2 linked regions of the Oryctolagus cuniculus genome follow. The protein of the gene in region 1 interacts with the protein of each later gene in a pairwise test. Links are inferred from orthologs where the notes say so. Each region holds a gene or a part of one and is shown in the gene's direction. Other genes may lie near its edges.

Region 1 (4,321 bases):
TGGGGGGACCTGTGTTGGAGGAGGGGTATTGGGGGGCTCCCCTTCCATGACTTTGTCCCCTGGGGGAGGTAGGACAGGGCTGGGCTTCCCTCTCATCCTCCCCCCCCCCCAATCTCCCTCCACCTCTCTCCCTCCCGCCAGCTCCACAATTTTTCGGTGTTTCTCTGTACATAGCTCTCTGGCGGGATAGGGGAGGTAGGATGGATGGGGTTTGGGGTGGGTAGGCCATGGGAGGGAAGAAGCCCCTCCTTGGTACCCCCTCCTCCCTGACTGCTGTCCCCTACCCAGCCTTGTCCCCTCATCCCTTCTTGCGTTTGGTATTGAGACTTTTCCCAGACTCCTCCCCTCTTTCTTTTGTATGGACAGTTCCCCTTCAGTCCCATCCCCCTACACACATACACCCAGCCGGGGCCAAATTTATACTTATATAAAAGTTGTAAATATGTGAAATTTTATCCCTGTGCCCTTCCCTCTGCTTTCCCCACCTCAGCCTTCCCCTCTCCTGCCCCCTTCCTCCTCTCCTCTTTGGCTGTTGTAATTATCTGGGGTTTGTACTGTACATATCCGGGGTGTGTGTGTGTGGGCTGGGGGCAACCCCCCTGTACAGAGCTTCCTGGCCCCCTCCCCCCCGCCACCTTAAGGGTAGGGAGATGCTCTTCCTACCCGTTTTATTTTGTTTTCTCGTTCTCCCTCCCCAACCCACTCCCAGCCTTCTCTATCCCCCACCGCTGCCCATTTTTCTCCACTCCCAGCCCCATTTCCTTTTTTTCTGGAGTGTGTGGTGAAACAGAAAAATCATGTTTAATAAACGGAGATTGTTCTTTTATCGCTGTGCCAACTTTCTCAGCCTGGGGGTGACAGGACTTTTAATTTTCTGAGAGGGAGCGGACAGCCTGGAAGGGAAGCCGACATCCCTGCCCGATGCCGGTCTCCGCACAGAAGCGCTGCCCCGCGCGGAGACGCAGTCTGGGGGTTCGTACGGCCCAGACTTCCCCAGTCCAGCCGACTGGCACCCACCGCTTGCTTCACTTACCCCCAGGAGCAAAGAGGACGGGATATAAGAGAACCCAGAAACGAAGCTGGCTTTGTTTAATTGGTGAAGGGCACGATTCCGTGCGGACTGCAGGGGAGCACTCGGCGCCTCAGCTAATCTGAGTTCCAGACCCAGCACTGCCGTTTCCCCGGCCCGGACGGCGAGGACGGCAACGCCTTGCTCGCCGGGCCGGGGGCACACAAGGTGCCACTTCACCTCGTCCCCCAGCACCTCGGCGCTGCGGGCGGCTGGCGGCCCGCCCTCTCCGGGCTGCGGTCTCCCGAGCCACGGCTTCCCCTTCGCAGCTCCCCGAGACGCCCCCACCCGCTCGCGCCCTGGCGCCGCCGGCCCGCCCCTTCTCGCCCGGGCAACCAATCAACACAGGGCTTGTAGGGCGCCCCATTCCGATTGGCTGCAGTTGTGCCCCCCCCCCCCCGCCTCTCCCGGCGTCGGCGTCCGGCGGGGAGGGGTGGCTTCCGGCCCGAGACGGCGCCGTAGCTGCAGAGAGGCTGCGAGGGCCTCGCCGCGTGTGTGACGGCGGGGGCGTGTCGGCTGGGGTCCGGGGCTCGTGATATCCCCGTGGCTGCGGCTACCCGGGAGCTGGCCACTGCGGGCACAGTGAGTGAAGCGAAGCGGGACGGAACGCCGGGCCGGGAGTCGACCCGGAGCTGGTGAGGTTAGGCTGGTAGCCGAAGGACCTCCTCATCTTCCACAAGGCCTGGAAGCTAAAACCAGGGGTTCGTGTTTTGTTTGTTTTTGTCTTCTTGGTGGGCGGGACTGGTATACAGACACAGCCACTGGCCGGAAGAGTTTCTACTTGTAGGTGGGAGGGGGGCATTTGTTTGCGGAGATACAGTTCCCGTTTTCTGGGGCTTGTGTGACATCCCCCCACCCCCGCACCCCATCTCTTTTGCTCCACAGCCTTCCTCTCACGTGGGTTCCACCCCAGACTCCGTCTCCTCTTGCCGACCCTCTGGGATCTCCGAGGAGGCCATGGAGACCTCGACGCCTTTGCCTGCCGCGCCCCCCTCCGCAGTGTGCAGCTCAGCACCGCGGACAATCCAGATCGAGTTCCCTCAGCACAGCTCAGCGCTGCTGGAGTCCCTGAACCGCCACAGACTGGAGGGAAAGTTCTGCGATGTGTCCCTGCTGGTGCAGGGCCGGGAACTTAGGGCCCACAAAGCGGTGCTGGCTGCCGCCTCTCCCTACTTCCACGACAAGCTGCTTCTGGGCGATGCGCCACGGCTCACCCTCCCGAGCGTCATCGAAGCCGATGCCTTCGAGGGGCTGCTGCAGCTCATTTATTCAGGGCACCTCCGCCTGCCACTGGATGCTCTCCCCGCCCACCTCCTTGTGGCCAGCGGCCTTCAGATGTGGCAAGTGGTAGACCAGTGCTCGGAGATCCTTAAGGAGCTGGAGACTTCAGGTGGTGGGATCTCAGCCCGAGGAGCCTCCTCCTACCATGCACTTCTTTCCACCACATCCTCTCCAGGAGGCTGGTGCATTCGCTCTTCCCCTTTCCAGGCCCCAGCACAGCCCTCCGCTCCTGCCGAGAGACCTGCATCTACTGAGAGCCCCATCGGAGGGGAGGGGAGTGAACTGGGAGAGGTGTTACAGATTCAGGTGGAGGAGGAGGAGGAAGAGGAGGAGGAGGAAGACGACGAGGAGGGCCAGGGGTCAGCAACCCTCTCGCAGACGCCCCAGCCTCAGAGGGTATCAGGGAGTCTGCCCCGTCCTCACGGATCCCTCGCCTTGCCCGTACCTGCTACTCCCCGCAGGCTGCCAGAGGGCGAAAATGCACCACTTGAGGTTCCTGCCGCTCCTGCTGCAGTGCCCCCTAAAATCTTCTACATTAAGCAGGAACCCTTTGAGTCTAAGGAGGAGTTGTCAGGAGGTGGAACCCAGTCTGGAGGAATAAAGGAGGAGACCAAAGCATTTCCTGGAGGGGACCCGGAGGGGAGTGGGGAGCTGGGGTTCTTGTTGCCCTCAGGCGTAGGGGCAGCATCTGGGGGAGGCGGTCCATCCTGGAAACCAGTGGATCTTCATGGCAATGAAATTCTGTCCAGCGGTGGAGGGCCCGGGGGAGCTGGGCAGGCTGTGCACGGTCCCGTGAAGCTAGGCGGGGCACCCCCTGCGGATGGAAAACGCTTTGGTTGCTTGTGTGGGAAGCGCTTTGCAGTGAAGCCAAAGCGTGACCGCCACATCATGCTGACCTTCAGCCTTCGCCCTTTTGGCTGTGGTATCTGCAATAAGCGCTTCAAACTGAAGCACCATCTGACAGAGCACATGAAGACCCATGCCGGAGCCCTGCATGCTTGTCCCCACTGTGGCCGTCGGTTCCGGGTCCACGCCTGTTTCCTTCGTCACCGAGACCTGTGTAAGGGCCAGGGTTGGGCCACTGCCCACTGGACTTACAAGTGACAGCTGAGGCCATCCACCAACTTGTAGGAGAAGGTAGCCATTGCTGCTGATGGATTCGTGCCCTTTACTACCCCAGACCTGGATCTCATAATCATGCCCAGTGGATAAATATGTTACGGATCTCTTGTCCTTGGGTGTAGGCCTCAGTCTGCCAGATTTGGAAACTCAGATTTCTCATCTCACCTCAGGTTTTTGCTAACCACCCTACAGGAAATAGTTTGTAGACCATTCTTAAACTGTTCACTTGCCCATAGTAGACTTTTTTATAGTGGTAGTATCCATGGAGGAAACCAGGTTTCAGATTGGAAGGTTATTTGGTGAGGGAACAATGAACAGCAAAAAGACGTACATAGTGGTCAGTGTTTTGTTCGGTCTCCATGAGGAGTTAAAGAGCTGGTCTCCAGTCAGGGATATGTTTCATTCAGAGGTCTAGTAATTGAGACTCAGCTCTAAACTGTGCTCTCCCTCATCATGGCTGGAATGATGTGAGCAGAGTTCTTATGTACGCTTTGTTCCCTCAGATTGTACCTAGCTTTCTCACCAGTAGGCACCTTTCCAACACTTTTTTTTTAACGTTGTAGTGAGCACTTTAAGCCGAGCATTCCACATGTCATTCCTAGAACCCTCTTTGATGGAGGGTATTCCCTCAACAATTAGTGCCTCTTGTCTACCTTTGACCACAACTAATAACTCGTATTTTGATCACAGTGACTGGAATGTGATCATTGAACTCAGGAGATGGCAGCTGACCTAACATGCTCTCAGGGTAGCACCACTGCTCTCTGAACAAGTTGCCATGGTCGGAGGAGCTCAGGGCCGAGACAGCGCATGCTGAACACTAGAGAGGAACTGCACAGTGGGACCATA
Region 2 (3,563 bases), on another chromosome or scaffold:
AATGAATATAATTCATAACATACATTGTTTATTATTTTTTTAAAAGATTCATTTATTTGAAAGAGAGGCAGAGAGAGAGGAAGGGAGGTCTTCCATCTGCTGGTTTACTCCCCAATTGGCTGCAATGGCCAGAGCCGCGCCGATCTGAAGCCAGGAGCCAGGAGCTTCTTCTGGGTCTCCCACGTGGGTGCAGAAACCCAAGGACTTGGGCCATCTTGCAGTGCTTTTCCAGGCCACAGCAGAGAGCTGGATCGGAAGTGTAGCAGCGGGATCTCAGCCGGCACCCATGTGGGATGCTGGCACTTCAGACCAGGGTGTTAACCTGCTGCACCACAGCGCTGGCCCCGTTTACAGAGATGGGGAACCATTTTTTTCTGCCAAGGGCCATTTGGATGTTTAAAACATCATTTCTGGGCCATATAGCATTATCAGCTTAAAAAGTAGCCTGCTATAGACTTACTGAATTCTGTGTTTTACCTGCAATTGCCTCAGCAAGGTCAGACCAAATGATTCTGTGGGCCTCAGTCTGGCTTGGATGTTCCCCACCCCTGGTGTTTTAAAACTATAGTAAAGTAAAATTCAGGTGTTCTGGAATGAGCCTACAAAAGTAATCCATAATCAAAGCTTTGTCAGCTGTTTTCTTGGGTTCTCGAAACAGCTATAGCTAATTGGGTAATATGATAGACTACAAAAAGGCATGAGTTTTTACTAAAGATAATAACATAGGAAGGAGACATCAGCTTTGTTCTAGATATGGTAGAAGAGGGTATAATATTTAAATGGAAGGATTATAGAGAAGAGAAAGTTAAGTTTGAACCAATGAGAGTAGAGTAACATTGCTGTTTAAGACAGGCAAGTCTATAAACAAAATTAATGTTTTGGGAAGGGGAACAAAAACAGTAGGGAAAGTAAAACTGAAGCTTCTTGGTAGAATTAGTAATGTAAACTTTAATGTAATACTCTTATAAACTGCATACTTTTAAAATATACAACTTTGGTAGAAATTATCATCCATGTATTGGGTTATTCTGTTAATAAAAATCCTTGTTTCTGAACAGCCCCCCCCCCCCCTTTTTTTTTAATTTTTACTGCCTCATCTTACCCAAGGTAGTCTACCTTTGAATTTAACTGTGATAAAAGAGATCTGAACAAAGGCTGTTTTTACTGAATTTTTTTTCTCCTTTTCTTCTTTTAGGAAAACCAAAAAGAACAAACAGAAAAGTAAGAATGTTAACTCTCTTAATATTGATTTATACCATTATAACATCTTTTAATTTGCTGTGTATGTTTCTTGATGGTCGCAAATGAGTGTCACAGCAGTGTTGAGATAGATACACAGTGGGAGAGACCTAAGTCTGATGATCCTTATGCTGATGAGAAACTGTTAAAGATTTAAATATATGACTCCCCAGAAAAGATAACTTTTTTAAATAGATAGAACATAGTGATATTGTGTTGCTTATATAATGTTTGGTGGAGCTGATCCTAAAAGTTAAGCTTTCACTGAAAATAATTTTTTAACTTAGATTCAAGTAACAGGATCTGTCATAGGCTGTTTTTCTTAAAAAGTTATTAAACAAAATCCCCCTACCTCTGCCCAACACCCGTGTGTTAATAGCACCTGGAAATGGAGATGGCGGCAGTACTAGTGAGACCCCTCAGCCTCCTCGGAAGAAAAGGGCCCGTGTAGATCCTACTGTTGAAAATGTGAGTTTTTCTTGTGTAACTATTAGAATTTTCAGTCAGACACAACCTTCCTCCTTTCTGCCCTTGGGTAGAGGTTATATATATATATAAATCCTAATTTCACCTATAGCTCTCGACTTCCACACTTCATCACTTCATCATCAGGGGTTTACTGTACAAGTTCTGTGTTTTTTTTTTTTTTTTTAATTTTTTTAAAATTGTTTTTTTGACAGGCAGAGTGGACAGGGAGAGAGACAGAAAGGTCTTTCTTTTTCCGTTGGTTCACTCCCCCAGTGGCCGCTGCGGCCGGCACACTGCGCTGATCTGAAGCCAGGAGCCAGGTGCTTCTCCTGGTCTTCCGTGGGGTGCAGGGCCCAAGCATTTGGGCCATCCTCCACTGCACTCCCGGGCCACAGCAGAGAGCTGGACAGGAAGAGGAGCGACCCGGGGTGCCGGCGCCGCAGGCGGAGGATTAGCCTATTGAGCTGTGGCACCGGCCACAAGTTCGTGTTTACACACAAGATCAAGTATTTCTTCAGTGTTGGAGGACAGGATAGTTTTTTTAGGTCATATTAAGTGACCTATTCGAGACATATCCAAGATGCTTTAATGAACCCAAAAGAGATGCCATGAAACCCTCTAAGTTCTGTGCTTTAAAGATTTTGTTTATTTGAAAGGCAGAGATACAGAGGGAGGGAGAGACAGAGAGGTCTTCCATCCTCTGGTTCACTCCCCAAATGGCTGCAACAGCCGGAGCTGGGCCAATCCAAAGCCAGGAGTTTCTTCTGGGTCTCCCATGCAGGTGTAGGGTGCTTGAGCCATCTTCTGCTTTTCTAGGCCACAGCAGAGAGCTGGATCAGAAGTGGAGCGGCCTGGACTCAAACTGGCGCCCATATGGGATGCTGGCTCTGTAGGAGGCAGCTTTACCTGCTATGCCACAGTGCCAGCCCTTCCCCCAAGATTTTTGTCTTTACTTTTATACTATTTTTTTTTATTTTTTATTTACTTTTTTTTTTTTTTTTTTTTTTTACTTTTGTACTGTTGTACTATTTTTAAATGGACAGTTCTGCCTGTATATTTGGCATCTGCAAGCATTTGATCTATTCCTAGTGTCCTTAAAGGTCAAAATTTCCCTGTGGTCTAGAGTTACTCTTCAGCAAGAAAAGATGGGTTTCTGATAGTGTTGTTGTTTCTGTTTAGGAAGAAACATTCATGAACAGAGTGGAAGTTAAAGTAAAGATTCCTGAAGAGCTCAAACCATGGCTTGTTGATGACTGGGACTTAATTACAAGACAAAAACAGGTAACTTGAAAACGTCACAGATGGTGATCTGTGTGCTCATGCTCTTTCTTGCCACTCACTTCTGTTACTTCAAAAAGGAAAAAAAATAAACTTGAAGTTCTACAATATGATGAATAATATTTAGTTCAGAGACTGAAGAGTTATCAAAATATATTGGCTTTATGAGTTAATGGTTTAGAAAAAGGTGAAGATAATTCATTTCGGGGGTTGCTAGGTCAGAAATGATTCTGAGAGTTGATAAGTGCAGAACAGGTTGTATACACTGAGAATGGAATATCCTCACCGATGTATGGGTGGTAGAATGCAGACAGAAAGCACTCAGTACCACCTACAAAGTGGATTTCATGATCTCCAAAAGAACCTGAGTCTAATCAATCTTCTATGTGTAATTATTGGTTTTCAGGAATGGGAATGTTTAGTAGAGGAGGAGCATGTTGAACATAAAGAATTCGTTCATGAACATGAGGAATTCTGTAGGACAAATGAAGCAATTTAAAAGAAACATAGAGATTTGGGGTTAGGAATGGAGAGTAGAGGTTGCTTGGGGATGGTGACTTGAGAGACTCGCTCATCCA

The links. The genes of interacting proteins can lie anywhere in the genome.
Region 2: the proteins of ZBTB9 (region 1) and MORF4L1 interact in binary tests that used the Homo sapiens proteins (3 or more experiments, as listed by UniProt). The two-hybrid records come from large-scale screens. The link is inferred for Oryctolagus cuniculus from reciprocal best matches to the Homo sapiens genes ZBTB9 and MORF4L1.

Annotation. Positions count from the first base shown.
Region 1 is NC_091436.1:135,695,433-135,699,753, reverse strand, and holds the start of ZBTB9 (zinc finger and BTB domain-containing protein 9), read left to right. Parts: upstream 1-1,484; 5' UTR 1,485-1,770; intron 1,771-1,954; 5' UTR 1,955-2,026; coding exon 2,027-3,454; 3' UTR 3,455-4,321. UniProt on the Homo sapiens protein: May be involved in transcriptional regulation.
Region 2 is NC_091443.1:105,825,179-105,828,741, reverse strand, and holds part of MORF4L1 (mortality factor 4-like protein 1), read left to right. Parts: intron 1-1,195; coding exon 1,196-1,221; intron 1,222-1,618; coding exon 1,619-1,707; intron 1,708-2,886; coding exon 2,887-2,988; intron 2,989-3,563. UniProt on the Homo sapiens protein: Component of the NuA4 histone acetyltransferase (HAT) complex which is involved in transcriptional activation of select genes principally by acetylation of nucleosomal histones H4 and H2A.